Elephas maximus indicus: one gene and its partner. The protein of the gene in region 1 purifies or fractionates together with the protein of each later gene. This does not show direct contact. Links are inferred from orthologs where the notes say so. Each region holds a gene or a part of one and is shown on either strand. Other genes may lie near its edges.

Evidence for each region. Proteins that work in one complex are often made in the same cells at the same time.
Region 2: the proteins of CUL4A (region 1) and WDR5 purify together in Homo sapiens (affinity purification with western blotting; 4 studies listed by BioGRID and IntAct, with this or other methods). This does not show direct contact. The link is inferred for Elephas maximus indicus from reciprocal best matches to the Homo sapiens genes CUL4A and WDR5.

The regions. Positions count from the first base shown.
Region 1 is NC_064841.1:79,609,338-79,616,583, reverse strand, and holds the start of CUL4A (cullin-4A), read right to left. Parts: upstream 4,170-7,246; 5' UTR 4,089-4,169; coding exon 3,932-4,088; intron 2,328-3,931; coding exon 2,212-2,327; intron 2,066-2,211; exon of another isoform or gene 1,979-2,065; coding exon of another isoform or gene 1,919-1,978; intron 1-1,918. Other genes in the region: PCID2 (PCI domain-containing protein 2), read left to right, coding at 6,065-6,100. UniProt on the Homo sapiens protein: Core component of multiple cullin-RING-based E3 ubiquitin-protein ligase complexes which mediate the ubiquitination of target proteins. As a scaffold protein may contribute to catalysis through positioning of the substrate and the ubiquitin-conjugating enzyme.
Region 2 is NC_064827.1:4,452,090-4,459,335, forward strand, and holds the start of WDR5 (WD repeat-containing protein 5), read right to left. Parts: upstream 3,708-7,246; 5' UTR 3,596-3,707; intron 397-3,595; exon of another isoform or gene 355-396; 5' UTR 296-354; coding exon 215-295; intron 1-214.

The DNA.
Region 1 (7,246 bases):
GAGGTACTTGGAAACGAAAGACAGTGATCTCTGAGAGATGGGAAACAAACAAAAACCCTATTTTTGACAAAAGTGCAAAGGCAGTTTAGTGGGGAAAGGACAGCCTTTTCAACGGATTGTACTGTAACAACTGAACATCTACACAGAAAAAATTGAACCTGAATTTATACCTCATGTCTGGAAGGAAATAAGAGAAAATCTTTGTGACCTTGGAACGGGCAAAGAATTCTTAGATACTAAAAGCACAATCCATAGAAGAACAAATTGGTACATTTGACTTAATCAAAATTAAAGACTACTGCTCTTCAAGAGCCACTGTTAGAGAATCCAAAGACAAGCCACAGCCTGGGAGAAAATATTTACAAGGGAAACATTTGATACAGAACTTGTACCTAGAAAGTACCGAGAATTCTCAAAAATCAAAAATTAGAAATAAACAACTCAAAAAATGGGCAAGAGATCTTAACAGACACTTCATGAAGATATATGGATGACAAATGAGCACATGAAAGATGCTTACTATCATCAGTCACCAGGAAAATGCAAATTAAAACCACAAAGAGATCGCACTATATACTTTCTAGAGCACTAAAGTTAAAATAGACTGACAATACCAAATGCTGGCAAGGACGTGCGGCAACTGGCACTCTCACCTACTGCTGGTAGAACGCAAAGTGGTGCCCCCAGTTTGAAGACGGGAAATTTCTGATAAAGTTAAACAACATGTATTTTCCATATGACCCTACAATCCCACTTCTAGGTTTTTACCTAGAATAAAAACATATGCCCACGCAAAGATTTATTCACTACTGTTCACAGTAGCTTTATTCACAACAGTAAAAAAACAGAAACCAAATATCCATTAAGCGGTAATGAACAAGCCAATTGTGGTATATCTATACAGTGGACTACTACTGAGCAATGAAAAGAAATTACTGCCATACAACGTGAATGAATCTCAAAAGCATTATCCTAAGAAACCAGATAAAAAGCATTATAAAATGCATGATTACATTTAGATGAGATATAAATAAAAAAAAATTTTTTTTTTTTTTTTTGAGATATAGAAGTGGTAAAAATACAGTGAGAAATTGCAGATGGTTGGCAGTCAGGGACAGGACTGAACGCAAGGGGCCTCAGAGAAGTTGTGGGATGGAAATATTGCCCGTCTTGATGGTGGTGGTTACACGGCTGTATACATTTACTAAAGCTTACTGAACTATGTACACTTAATGAAAAAATTTTATTATGTGTAAATTACATTTCAATAAAGCTGATTAAAAACATCATAAACACATACAGGAAGACAAACTATTTACTATGTCCATGAAAATGTCAGCAGTAACCTTCTTTGACTGGTGGGAGCATAGGTAATTTTTGCTTTGTATTTTCCATAATTTTTATAATCCAATCACTCACATCATCTGAAAAAAAGGTAACTTTAAAAATGCAAGCCTTTTTAATGGAAATAATTGTGTGATATGATATTGTAGCCTAAAACGTAGCCGCTATTAGTTAATGAATGTTATTCTTTAAAAAATCAGAAAAACCAGTCAGGTTGTAAATGAAAAATTCAAATAAAATGTTCTTTTAACCATTTTCTTCCTTGAAAAATGGAATTTCATTACTTCATATTAAACATAAAATGTGTTTACAGAACTTCATTTCAGCAATTAATCACAAAACACAATGAAGCGAGAAATCTATATTAACAAGAAAAACAATTAAGAATTTCATAAACATAATGTGATAATAATAATTTGCTACGTATTTGGAAATTACTAGAATCGTATGGCTCTGAAAAACATCCCACCTTATTCTTGCAATGTGATAACTAAAATCTTCCCAGGCAGCTTAAGCCTGAAAACAAAATAAAAACCCAATAAGAACCAATGAACAAAAACACACCAGGACCCACTTTCACAGGACTCCTGTTGTTCCTGTTTGAGGCAAACATACTGAGACATTCTGGATTCATATTCTGTCACTGCTGACTCTCTTAAAGTGGAATGTAGAATCTTCACCTGTATCACATTTCACAGGAACTGGGCGATGCGTTTAAACAACTAGAGAGACAACCAGGTAACTGTAATGACAAGATGTCAACCAAATCAAGTTCTGAGGAACTTCTCCAGGTCTAAGAAAATTCCACATTCACGTCTCAACAGAAATTCTAGCAAACTCTACAGTTTACTACATTTGGACCCTTACCTGGTAGAGCTCTTCGAGGTTGTATTTAATGGAGGTACTACTTTGTATGGCTTTCACTGCCTCATGAAGCTTGTGCCATGTATCCTGAGTGTAATTATCCGGCAGTTTAGGTCTGTCTGTAAATTCAGAAAGAGAATCAGTGGAGAAGGGCTGCCACAGGACAGTAACACATCTTCTAAAATGTTCTCAAAGAAAAATACTTAAAAGCAGAAAAAACAGGAAAATCAAGTTTTCCAAATTCAAAGTATTGCATTTATAAATTCCTTGGGTTATGGACTAAGCAACGGTAACATCTTTATTTCAATACTTAGTACTAATAGTTAGTTAGGATGAATACTTCAAATTTACACATCTTAGTTTCCTTAACAAGTTGACATCAGAACATTATAAACGTGGCACAGTTAAGCTCTACGCAATTTTAAATTGATATAAATTATCTAACATTGGAAGGTAAAGAGTAAGCTTGTAATTGTATATACCCGCATCAAAGATGCTTATTTTGAGATATTATCCAAGATAGAGGTGGTAAGAGGTGGAGGAAGTAACAGAAAGTACAGTGACGCGCGCAGTAGTGGCTTATTCTGGTTCAGCTGTGCCAATCACCATACATTATTTATCTAATTTATGATTTTTCTATCAATTGCATAGAGTCATGAGAACAAAACACTGCTACAAAGAAGACCTGATATGGTATAAATCTCCAATGTCCCATATTTAGGGCGGTCAGGTGAAGTTTAAAAAGTCCGTGTGTACACACTTAACGGACGATCCCTATTTCTGCAGGGTCTGCGTCCTGAGGCGCACAGTGCTGAGCTCCGGGTACGCGCCCTGAGTCAGGAGGCTAAACTGCCGACTCACTGGGCCTCTTTCTTTCTATCTTAGGGGAGGGATGTGCCGTCCTAGTCTCGCACAAGATTTCAAACCTCCCTGAACTCGGTACCGGGAAAGGTGTACGGAGTCCAAAAGTCCCTGGGAACTGGACCAAAGTGATGTCCACGTTACACAGAGATCTCACGAGGCAGCACAGACTAGAAAGCTAGCCGGCGGCCGACAGAAGGCCGAGACGCAGAGGGCAGGCCCGGCGGGACCCCGAAGCACCGCGGCGGCTCTGGGTCCCCGACCCCGCAGGGTCCAGCGCGGCCGAGGTCGGCGCAGGTCAGCGCGGCGCGTGCGCAGGGAGGCCGACCCGCGCCCCTTCCCCATTGGCCGTCGCCGCTCCGACGTCCGCGCCGCGCGGCCCCACGCACCCGCCGCCGGCGGGGGGCGCAGGAAGTCGCTCGGCCGCCCCTTCCTCCCGGGACCGCCGCGGCCGGCCGTCGCCCCGCGCCCCGGCCCGTCGCCATGCGCCCTTGTCCGTAGTCCTGCGCCCCGGCCCGTCGCCCCGAGCCCTCGTCCGCCGCCCCGCCGCCCCGCGCCCCGGCCCGCCGCCCCGCGCCCTCGTCCGTCGCCCCGCACCCTGGCCCGTCGCCCCGCGCCCCGGCCCGTCGCCCCGCACCGTCGCCATGCGCCCTCGTCCGTCGCCCCGCGCCCCGCACCGTCGCCATGCGCCCTCGTCCGTCGCCCCGCGCCCCGCGCCCCGGCCCGTCGCCCCGGCGGGACGTGCTGGCCCGGCCGCTGTGTCCGCCAGCCCCCGGGGCCGCGCGGGGCAGGCCCGTCCCGAGGCCGTTTCGGCTCCGCCGCCCCTCCCCCAGCCCGGGCGCGCTCGCCCTCACGCACCTACCTCGGAAATTTTTGATCACTAATTTCTTGGAGCCGCTGCCGCCCCCAGGTTTGGTGGTGACGGCGGCGGCGGCTGCCAGGGAGGCAGGTTTCGTGAGGCCATTGGTGTGCCCGACGAGAGCCGAAAAGTTTCCCTTTTTGGGGGTCTCGTCTGCCATGTCTACTGCCGAGAAAACAAACCGGCGGCGGCCGCTCCGCCCCACCCCCGCCCTCGGCCTGTTCCCGCCTCCAGTCGCGGCCCGGCCGCGCTTCCTCCTCCTCCTCCTCCTCCTCCTGCCCCGGCCTGCTCTCCCCGCCTCCTTCTCCGCCCCTGCCCGGTGCCCCGGCCCCTCCGGGGTGCGAGCTAGGCCTCGCCGGCGGCCGCGGAGCGAAGGGAGTCCCGGGAGCCTCCGCCGAGAGCGCGCCCGGGGCCGCCGCCCCGCTCGTCCCTCGCCGGCCGTCCCTTCTCCCAGATAAAAGTTCTCCGCGCCCGCACGGCCGCCCGCTGGAAGCCTGCGCCCGCGCGCCGTAAACACCGCCGCCGGCCGGAGCCGGAACCCGGCCTCCTCTCCGCCCCCGCCAGCGGCCTCCACTTCCCGGGGCCCGCCCCCTGCCCCGGCCCGGGCCGCGGGACTCCGCCTCGGGAAGGGGGCCGGGGCCGCGCGAGCCGCGGCACCGCCGGGCCTTCCACGAGCTTGCTCCCAACCGCCGATTCGCGCCTGGTCCCCTGTTCGATCCCGGGTCCCCCGCCCCACGGCGCAGCGCCCTGGACTCGGGGCCGGCTCTTCATGGCTGTCCCCATCTCGGTCCGCCAGTGGCGCGGCCCTTTGCGGGCGGAAGCTCGTACGGAGAGGCCGAGGGGCCCCGGAGCGGCCGGACCCCCGGGACCCCCAGGAGCCCCCGCCCTCGTTACGGGCCCGCGGGGTCGCGCTGCCAGCGGGATGGACACCGGCCGCTGCCACCGCGCGTGCGCGGCCCGGGGCGCCGAGGACCAGGGCGGTCGGGGGAAGGGTGTGTAGACACGGTCCCGTCCCCGTCGGCGGTGGGATTTTTCCTTTGAACACGCAGGAGCCGAGGGTATCGCGCGGCAGCGAGGCCATGAGGCTGTTCTCCGCCGAGAAACGGCAACCCTCGGCTCCCCAGGGACTCCCATGAAAACCCCCATTGCCCCAGTCTGTGGTCCTGCGCCTGCCGGTGGAACCAAACAAAAACCGAGAACGCGAGCGAGGGAGCTGCCTCGCTGAGAGCTGGCGAGAGGAAGTCCGCCGGGAAGGCACCTCAGCCTCCTCCCTGGGCCTCCTCCCTGAGCATCCCTCAGCCTCCTCCCTGAGCATCCCTCAGCCTCCTCCCTGGGCCTCCTCCCTCTCAGCCTCCTCCCTGAGCATCCCTCAGCCTCCTCCCTGAGCATCCTTCAGCCTCCTCCCTGGGCCTCCTCCCTCTCAGCCTCCTCCCTGGGCCTCCTCCCTGAGCATCCCTCAGCCTCCTCCCTGAGCATCCCTCAGCCTCCTCCCTGAGCATCCCTCAGCCTCCTCCCTGGGCCTCCTCCCTCTCAGCCTCCTCCCTGGGCCTCCTCCCTCTCAGCCTCCTCCCTGGGCCTCCTCTCTGAGCCTCCTCCCTGAGCATCCCTCAGCCTCCTCCCTGGGCCTCCTCCCTCTCAGCCTCCTCCCTGGGCCTCCTCCCTCTCAGCCTCCTCCCTGGGCCTCCTCCCTCTCAGCCTCCTCCCTGAGCATCCCTCAGCCTCCTCCCTGGGCCTCCTCCCTCAGCCTCCTCCCTGAGCATCCCTCAGCCTCCTCCCTGGGCCTCCTCCCTCAGCCTCCTCCCTGAGCATCCCTCAGCCTCCTCCCTGAACCTCCTCCCTGGGCCTCCCCCCTGAGCCTCCCTCTCAGCCTCCTCCCTGGGCCTCCTCCCTCTCAGCCTCCCCGCTGAGCCTCCCCCCTGAGCCTCCTCCCTGAGCATCCCTCAGCCGCCTCCCTCAGCCCACGGTGGAAGAGGGCCGGCCCCCCGGGAGCGCCCCCTCCCAGCGACCCCGAGAGGAAGGCGTGGCCGGGCGGCGGGCGCGCGCTCCGCCGCTGGGCCGGAAGTGACGTCAGCGCGCGGGCGGAAGTGGGAGAGGCTGGTGTCGGCCAGACTGAGCGCAGGACTGGCCGCCGCTTCCATGGCGCACATCACCATCAACCAGTACTTGCAGCAGGTAATTTCTTCGCTGGGGGAGGACCAGTGGCAGTGCGCGGGCGCCCCCGGCCGCTGTCGCCGTTGTGTTCCGTTCTCTTGAGGTCTGTGACTGCTTCCCTGCCCGTTGCTCCGTTGGCTCCTGGGCTTTACTGATGGGCGGCGGTGACATGGGTGTCCTGGGAGGGATTCGAACCGAGAGTCGACGTCACAGCCTTTCCTGCATTAGTGTGAAGCGACAGGGCTGGGGTGCGGACATACGGTACCCAGACACAGCTTCACGGTCTGCTGGGCAGGTCACCTAGTGTTTGCTGAGTATTTCTGAGCTCTTGTGTGCAAGATGGGAATTAATCATGGTTTGGGTATATAGACTTACTGGATTTGCTGGGAATTCAGGGAGGAACCAAATGGTCGGTGCTTTCGATTTAGGGATGCGGGGGGCTGCGGCGGGAGAGGCGTGGGTTCTCGTGGGCCTTGAAGAGCCTGTAAGCGACGCCGAGAAGTTTGGATTTAGCCCTTGGGCAGCCATTGAAGTCTTAACCAAGGGTCTGGTTTAGTCCCATTTTTGTTTCGAATAGGCACTGGTGGAAATGTGAAGTGATGAATTTGAGGTAATTCAAATAGGAGATGGAGCTAGCAACTATGCGACTGTTGTAGTCCTAGTGCTAGCCAATATTTAGTCATAGTTACTACCATACTGATGAAGAGCAAAGACTACAGCCTTAAGTATGGATTACACCTCAACATAAAGAAAACAAAAATCCTCACAACTGGACTAATAAGCAACATGGTGATAAATGGAGAAAATATTGAAGTTGTCAAGGATTTCGTTTTTTCTTGGATCCACAATCAGCGCCAATGGAAGCAGCAGTCAAGAAATCAAATGACCTATTGCATCGGGGAAATCTGCTGCGGAAGACCTCTTTAAAGTGTTAAAGGGCAAAGATATCACTTTGAGGAATAAGACATGATATTTTCACTTGCCTCATGTGCGTGCTAAAGCTGGACAATGAATAAGGAAGACCAAAGAAGAATCGATGGCTTTGAATTATGGTGTTGGCAAAGAATGTTGAATATACCATGGACTACCAGAAGAATGAACAAATCTGTCTTGAAAGAAGTACAGCCAGCATGCTCCTTAGAAGTGAGGATGGTGAGGCTCTGTCTC
Region 2 (7,246 bases), on another chromosome or scaffold:
AGCATCTACATTGCTGATAAAGCTCCTGCCCGGGTGATGGGTTTGGGAACCCACTGTGGTGCATAAGCACCCCTCGGGCACGTGCTCAGGCAGTAGAACCTGACAGCGTTATCTAGCTGGGCACGGAGAATAAACTTACGGGCGTGAATAATATTCCAAGGCTCTTTAAACAGATACTCCCCCAGAAGCCCCCCAAGGAGTGCTCTGCACACACCTTGCTCTGAGTGGCCGACGACGAAGGGGTCGGCTGTGCCCTGGCAGCTTCGGTCTCCGGCTTCTTCTCCTCCGTTGCCATGGCTCCGCAGCCCACCAGGCAGGGGGACGGGGTGCACAGCTCTGAGCAGAAGAGTCAGGCTGGAAAGAGGCGTCTGCTTACCAAAGCCTATCGGGGGGAACCTAGGCCAATGAACAAACCATTTTAAAAGCTAATATCCAGGACAAAGGACCAAGACGAAAAATGCCTGGCCACCACACTGACCCTGGCAGCAAATAGCCTGTTCCGAGCTGGGGAGCCTGACTAGTAGACTCGGGCCACACTAACGCTCTGCAGATGCTGGGCGAGACAGCGCTGCCCTCACCCTTTCCCGTAATCAAAGTCACCATGCTGCACGGGGCTGCCTATTTTGTTACCCAGACGTTGGCAGGAAGGCAGCTTGATCCACACAAAATGCAATTTTCTTCAAAGACCCCTTGATACGTTAAGAAAAAGACCCAAAGGTTTCCTGACAGAAAACTAACGTGCCAAAGGACAGGGGACTCAGCGTCAGGGTGCGGAAGGTGACAACTCATCCAGATCCTAAAACGCACCCCGAGTGGGGACGCAGGCGTGAGCACACCCAGGGCTCCCGCACCTCAGGGTGGGCTCAAGGGCTCACCGCACAGGCTGCTTCCAGATCGCCAACAGGTGAGGAAACTCAGCACACAGCTGAAGCGTGACCCAGGGCCTGCCCTGCAAGCTGCAAGGAGCCTAAGCTGGGCACTGACCCCGCAGCCAGACTCACTGCAGAGGAGGGAAGAGACTGCAGCTCAGCCAGGGTCCGCTCGACAGTGGGAAACACCCCAAACCTGTGCAGTAAGCCATCAGTCTCCTGTCACAGCAGCACATTCCATTACTGGATAAAACCAAAATCAAACCTGTTGCAGACGAGTCGAGTCCAACTCACAGCAACCCCAGAGGACAGAGCCGAACTGCCCCGTAGCGTTTCCAAGGCTGTAACCTTTAAGGAAGCAAGCTGCCACGTCTTTACCCTAGGGGGTGGCTGGTGGGTTTGAACCACTTAACTTTCGGTTAGCAGCCAAGCCCTTAACCACTGCACCACCAGAGCTCCTCCGTTACTGGATACCTCTCATGAAACCACACCAGGTTATCCAGAAATGAGGGAAACCGCTGTTAAAAAGGAGAGCCACTAAGCCTTTCCTGCAAATGTCACTGGCCATTCAACCCCCTAAGCTGGCACTACCATTCACCTGGTGTGTTCACACACTGTACCTTCTAGCTTGAAGCTTCAGGCGAAATGGAACCCATCAAAAAGGACAAAGTCCCAAAGTCTTCATCCAAGGGGAGAAAGTTTACCCAGGAACACCCACTGGGCAAAGCCAACGGGCACGAAGCTCTCTTCTGCTGGGAAGCCTGCTGCAGATGCATCCAAGGACGCCCAGATCACAGCACAGGGCTGAGAAGTGGCTGGTGCCCCTGCCCCAGGTGGGACACCAGTGGCAAAGGCTCCACAAAAGGGCAGCTCAAGGGCCAGAAGTGTTCTTTTAGCATAAACAGCCTGGCCTAGAGGCAGGGCGTGACTACGGCCAATTGGCTGCCCAAGAGGAACAAAAGGCTGAAGTAGGTGGTCTTACCCCCCACCCAGCACAAGCCCAGCCTTCCAACATTAACATGCAAAAAAACCCTTGTGCAAAAGTAGGTGGTCTTACCCCCCACCCAGCGCAAGCCCAGCCTTCAAACATTAACATGCAAAAAAAACCCTATGCAGAGAAGGACCTTTAAGAATATGGATTTCTTGACTCAGCACCCCAAGACTCTGCTTTGCTGGGTGGGGTCTACGCCCGCAGCTGCATTCTTCACAGACACTTAGACAGGTCTGTGGTCACATTTGGAGAAAGGATTATTTTGAGGGAACAGGGAGCTGGTTAGGGGCCAAACCAATAAAAAGGCAGGGTACAAGAAGGTGAATACACACCCGGAGGGCAACCTGGACGTTGCCTCCAGAGCTCCCGCCCCTCTAGGCACCCACAGGCCTTTGATCCCAGTGAGCCTGACACCTAAGGCAGAGCCTCCCAAACTTGAGCGCTTTCCTAGACTCTGGTAAAACACAGGTTCCTGGGCTCCATCCAGACGTGGGAACTCAGAGGCCACCTATTTCTCTGTGCACACGCCCAGGTGAGCTCAGGCAGCCCGTCCTGCAGCAGTCGTGGCAGGAACAGCTCTCTGCTACCTCAGCTCTTGGACATACTTCTGCTCCCCACTTACCTGTCTGCCTTCCTTAGGGGCCAAGCTCAGAGGCAAGGTCTAGTGCAGTACCGCCCGATTCAAAGCTTTAAAACGTTTGTTGACGAGAATTGGAGCCCTGGTGGCGCAGTGGTTAAGAGCTCAGACTGCTAACCACAAGGCGAGCAGCTCGAATCCACCAGCCACTCCTTGGAAACCCTATGGGGCAGTTCTACCATGTCCTATAGGGTCGTTATGAGTTGGCATCAACTGGACAGCAACATTTCTTTAAGAGAATTGGTGAAAAGACCTGGGTGGGTAAAGGCTTGCACAGCAAAGGTGGTTAAGGGGTATCTTTTAAAATATCCCCAAATGGCTTTCAAAGACCAGACCAGGCGTGGTCTGAGGTTCCACCACAGGAGGGCCGGTGGCTTCTCCCTTCCTGAGGGTGGACTCACACCACAGTGACCCCAACCCGGGGCTCTAGGCTCTTAGGCGAGACGGGGTCTGGCAGCTCAGGAGTAACCAGCAGGGGCAGGGTGGGTGGAAAACAGGGGTCATGTCTACAGAAGAGGGGAGCTCAACCCTGTCTGCATTCAGCCAGTGTCTGCGTGGACCACATGTGGGACAGACCGGCCTGGGGTCTCTCTGAAGAAATGCAGGGGAAGGGGGCGATGTGCACGCTGGCTGGGGGTTGGGAGGGGCGTCCCAACCCCTGGGGCTTTGGTCTTGTCATGTGACCGCTGCGGAGAGAGAAGTTCCGGGGAGACTGGGACATGGGCCGGGGAGGGGCACCTGCAATCAATGGGGGTGTGGGGGGTACCCCTGGGATGGGGGGCAGGACACCCAGGGCGGGGCCGCCAGATGGGGCAACGGGGACGGGCGGGGAGCCTGAGCCGGGAGGAGGGCGAAGGGGGCACCGGCTGGGGGCTGGGGGCTGGGGAGGCGCGGAAGGTGGCCCTCACGGAGGGCGTCTGCACGAGGAGGGCCCGGGCCCGCCGGCGGCGGTTTGGGGTCCGCGGGAAGGAGCTGCCACGGGGGCCGAGGCCCGGGGCGCCGGCCTGGCGGGGAACACGTGCGGCGGCCGGAGACGGTTTGGGGGCGAAGCCGGGTCGCGCCCACCCACCCCGCTGCGGCCCGCGGGCCGGCGCTTACCTCTGGGCCGCAGCGGCGGGGCCGGGAGCCGGGCGTCGCGTCGGCCGCCACCTGGGCGGCAGCGCGGGCCAAGCTCGACGAGGCGGCAGGTCCGGCGGGCGCCAAGCGGCGTGGGGGGGGCCCCTGCCAGTGCGCGTGCGCGAGGAGAGGGGGCGGTGCCCCGGAGGCGGGGCCAACGCACAAAGCTGGCCTCTCTGAGGAGCGCTACGGAGAGCGGCAAGGGGCAGAAGGCCTCGGCCAGCCGAACGCCTTAAAGGGGCCGGGCGCTGCGCTCGCTTCCTGATCCAAAGCGTTCAACTCCAGAAGTTGGCTGGTGCGGGCCCGCCTCTCCCGCACTTTTTAAAGATTTTTTTTAGTGTAATATACATACAGGGATGTACTATTGTATCCCTTGAATTTTGTGAGCAGCCCTGCAGCCGACACCCACATCCTGGGACAGGGCGTTCCCCGGGGATTCTGAGGAGGGGAAGTTGCCCAACGTTTCTCCTCGGAATCGGTGGCCCGGTTGGGGCATCAATTCTTCATTAACGCTCACACCACTGGTCGCAGCAGTTGGCTGTGACAGCATCTGCAGCTAGCCCGCGCAACGCCTCAGTGAACCCTCACACATCAGGCGGACAGGTGCGCACGCCTTCCGCTTACAAGACCTGGGGCTCAGTCCCCGGACTCCGCCCGAGGGGCTGAGAGTCCTTCCAGCGCCAGCTCTTCCCCAAGCTCACCACACCTTCTTCCCTCCCAGCGTTGTGTGATGAATACAATGCTCGTAATTACTGCATGCAAACTGGTTTCACAGCCCCTCCCTGGTGGGGCCCCCAGGCAGGTGTTCACCTCCATCACAGACGGGCAGGTGAGGCTCAGAGAGGAGTGAGGGGCAGGAGGAGAACCTGGGGTCCAGTGTTCTGCTCCATCCACGAGCAGCCGCAGCCCACTGCCCCACTTCTGCAAACCACATGGGCCTTAGACTCTTGGAGGTGGCCCTGGCTCCTGCAGCTCCACCGCCCCTGCCCAGGTCTGTGGGTAGAGTGGCAGACAAACTCTTATTTTCCAATTAATAGGACAAGGTACCTGAGCAAACAAAGGGACCATGCATTAGAAGTGGAACCAACCGCCCACGGAAGGTGAGATGTGTGGCTGTCATGGATAACGACAGCTGAAGAGTGGCAGCCAATCTGGAGCCCTCTCCCAGAGAGGACACAGGGTGGCAAGGCCATAGTTCACGTGGATCTGTGTGTCCAGCAGGCCCGGTCACCCTTGGTCCAGGTGCCTTGGAGCCAAATGCCGGGATGCTCCAATGTTAACAAAACCAGCTAAGAGGTGAAGATGGGCATCTCCAGCCACCTGGTGGCCTAAGATGGGCATCTCCAGCCACCTGGTGGCCTGGACGGACACCTGAGCCCACCCTGGATTCCCCCCCATACCTCTCAGTCCTCAGGTCCACCCACTCCTCTCCATGCCAGCCTCATCATCTCAGAGTGACCACTATGCTACCCTTCCCAAACCTCTACACAGCACGCCATAGGAAAACTCCAGCTCTGGTCTGTCTCTCCCCAGTCTAAGGTTTAGAAATAGCTTCCCAGGGCCCTCAGATCAAAAGCCAAACTCTGTTGACGGTTTACCAGACCCTCCCTCTCCCTCCAGCCTAGTGCCACCCCCAAACTGTGCACCCCAGGTTCCAGCCCCAGATAGAAATTACTTCCAGTCCCCAGCCCTCCTGGCAGAGTGGGATGAGGGTCCTGACCCCAGAAGTCACAGAACTCAAATCTGTTAACTCAGTTTCCCAACTTCCACTCCCAGGTAAATGGGCCTGGCCCCGCCCTCCCCCAGGAGGTAGAACCTTCTGGTGAAAAAGAAAATCCTCCCTGCAGAGCTGAAATCCGGAAACCGGATAGCCAGCAGGAAAAGCCGCTTAACAAAAACAAGTAATTTGCTTTATTATCTGTTTTAAACCCCTTTATATCCTTCCCAAAAATTTGTCACGCTCAGAAAAATCAGTAGTGGAAGCCGAAGAGAGTGTGAACTAAAGAAAAGGGGAAACCATGCTCGAGTGGTTTTTTCCAGAATACTAACTGCTTGGGCCACCGGGGTGAATTGGTGAAGGAAACTGTTTCCAAGAACAAATTTTTACAGCCAACATTTCTAGAAAGCTGCTCCTTACCCCCATGCAAGGGGTGGTGTGAGCCAGCCTGGGCACCTCCCTCTCCAGGTCCCTCCACCAGGCTCCCCTTCTCCTCATGACACCCCCTCCAGCCAACGTCCCCTGGGGCCTCCTCCCCTGATCCCCAAACCTGGTGAGTGACCCTGGCTGTGTTTGCATCGCTCCCAGTTCCTCCCCAGTAGAAACCCTCATCTCTTCATAGAAATCCTGGTCTAAAGTCTCCTGGTGCCATCTGAGCTGGTGGGAGTGGGAGGAAGACAGGAAGGAGGAGGGGGAGGAGCAGTGGGAGAAAGGGGGAAGGGAGGGGGAGGGAGGGGAGAAGGGGGAGGGAGGGGGAGGAGCAGTTGGAGAAAGGGGGAGGGAGGGGGAGGAGCAGTGGGAGAACAGGAGGGGGGAGGAGCAGTGGGAGAAAGGGGGGAGGGAGGGGACGAGCAGTGGGAGAAAGGGGGAGGAGAGGAGCAGTGGGAGAAAGGGAGGGAGGGGAGGAGCAGTGGGAGAAGAGGAGGGAGGGGAGGAGCAGTGGGAGAAAGGGGGAGGGAGGGGAGGAGCAGTGGGAGAAGGGGGAGGGAGGGGGAGGAGCAGTGGGAGAAAGGGGAGGGAAGGGGGGCAGTGGGATAACAGGGAGAGAGGGGGAGGAGCAGTGGGAAAGGGGGAGGGAGGAGAGGAGCAGTGGGAGAAGAGGAGGGAGGGGAGGAGGAGGGAGAAGGAGGGGGAAAGGGAGGGGAGGAGGGATGACTTGACATGCACTGAGAACTTGGGTGCTCCTTCCTCTATTAAGTTTGTTACACTTGTTACCTCCTTGTACCCTCTCAACAGCCCTGTGAAGTGGGTGCCTACATTATCCCCTTTTCACAATGAGGAAACTGAGGCTCAGAGAGGCTGGGAAACCACCCAGGGACCCCCAGTCAGTAGCAGATACTCAAGCTCAGGACTGGCTGTAGGCACAGCCTGCGCCCTGACCCCTAGACTTGTAAACAGTGCACGATCAATGACGCTTATTTGGTGAATGAGTGAAACGCCCATGTTGTAGGCCTTCAAAGAAGACAGCAACCCCATGAACTCCAGCGCTTAGAGGAGGTCTATAGAGGCCGCAGATCTAAAATATAATAACATTACGTTCTCACACGGCTTCAAGCTTCCGAAAAACCATGTTTTATCGTCTAGTGAGAAACATTTTATCAGGAAAAGTGGCCTTCAGGACGTTGGCTGAGGAGGGGGCTGGTTGCATTGGGGTGGAACACTGCAATGCTCACACCAGGGCTGCAGGCAGCAGTGAAGCTCCAGCCCCTTAACGGCTGAGCCCAGAGCTTTGGGGGCAGCAGATTCCCACAGCAGTTGATGAGAGGATCCTAGAACCTGAGGGACACGAGGATGCTCAGGAGCCAGGGTTTCCAGGAGCTGCTCCCAGGATCCCACAGCCTGACTTTATCCCGAACCCCGCAGGCTCCTGCCAGCCCAGGTCAGAGGGTTCCTGTTAAGCCCTTTTCCCTCATAAA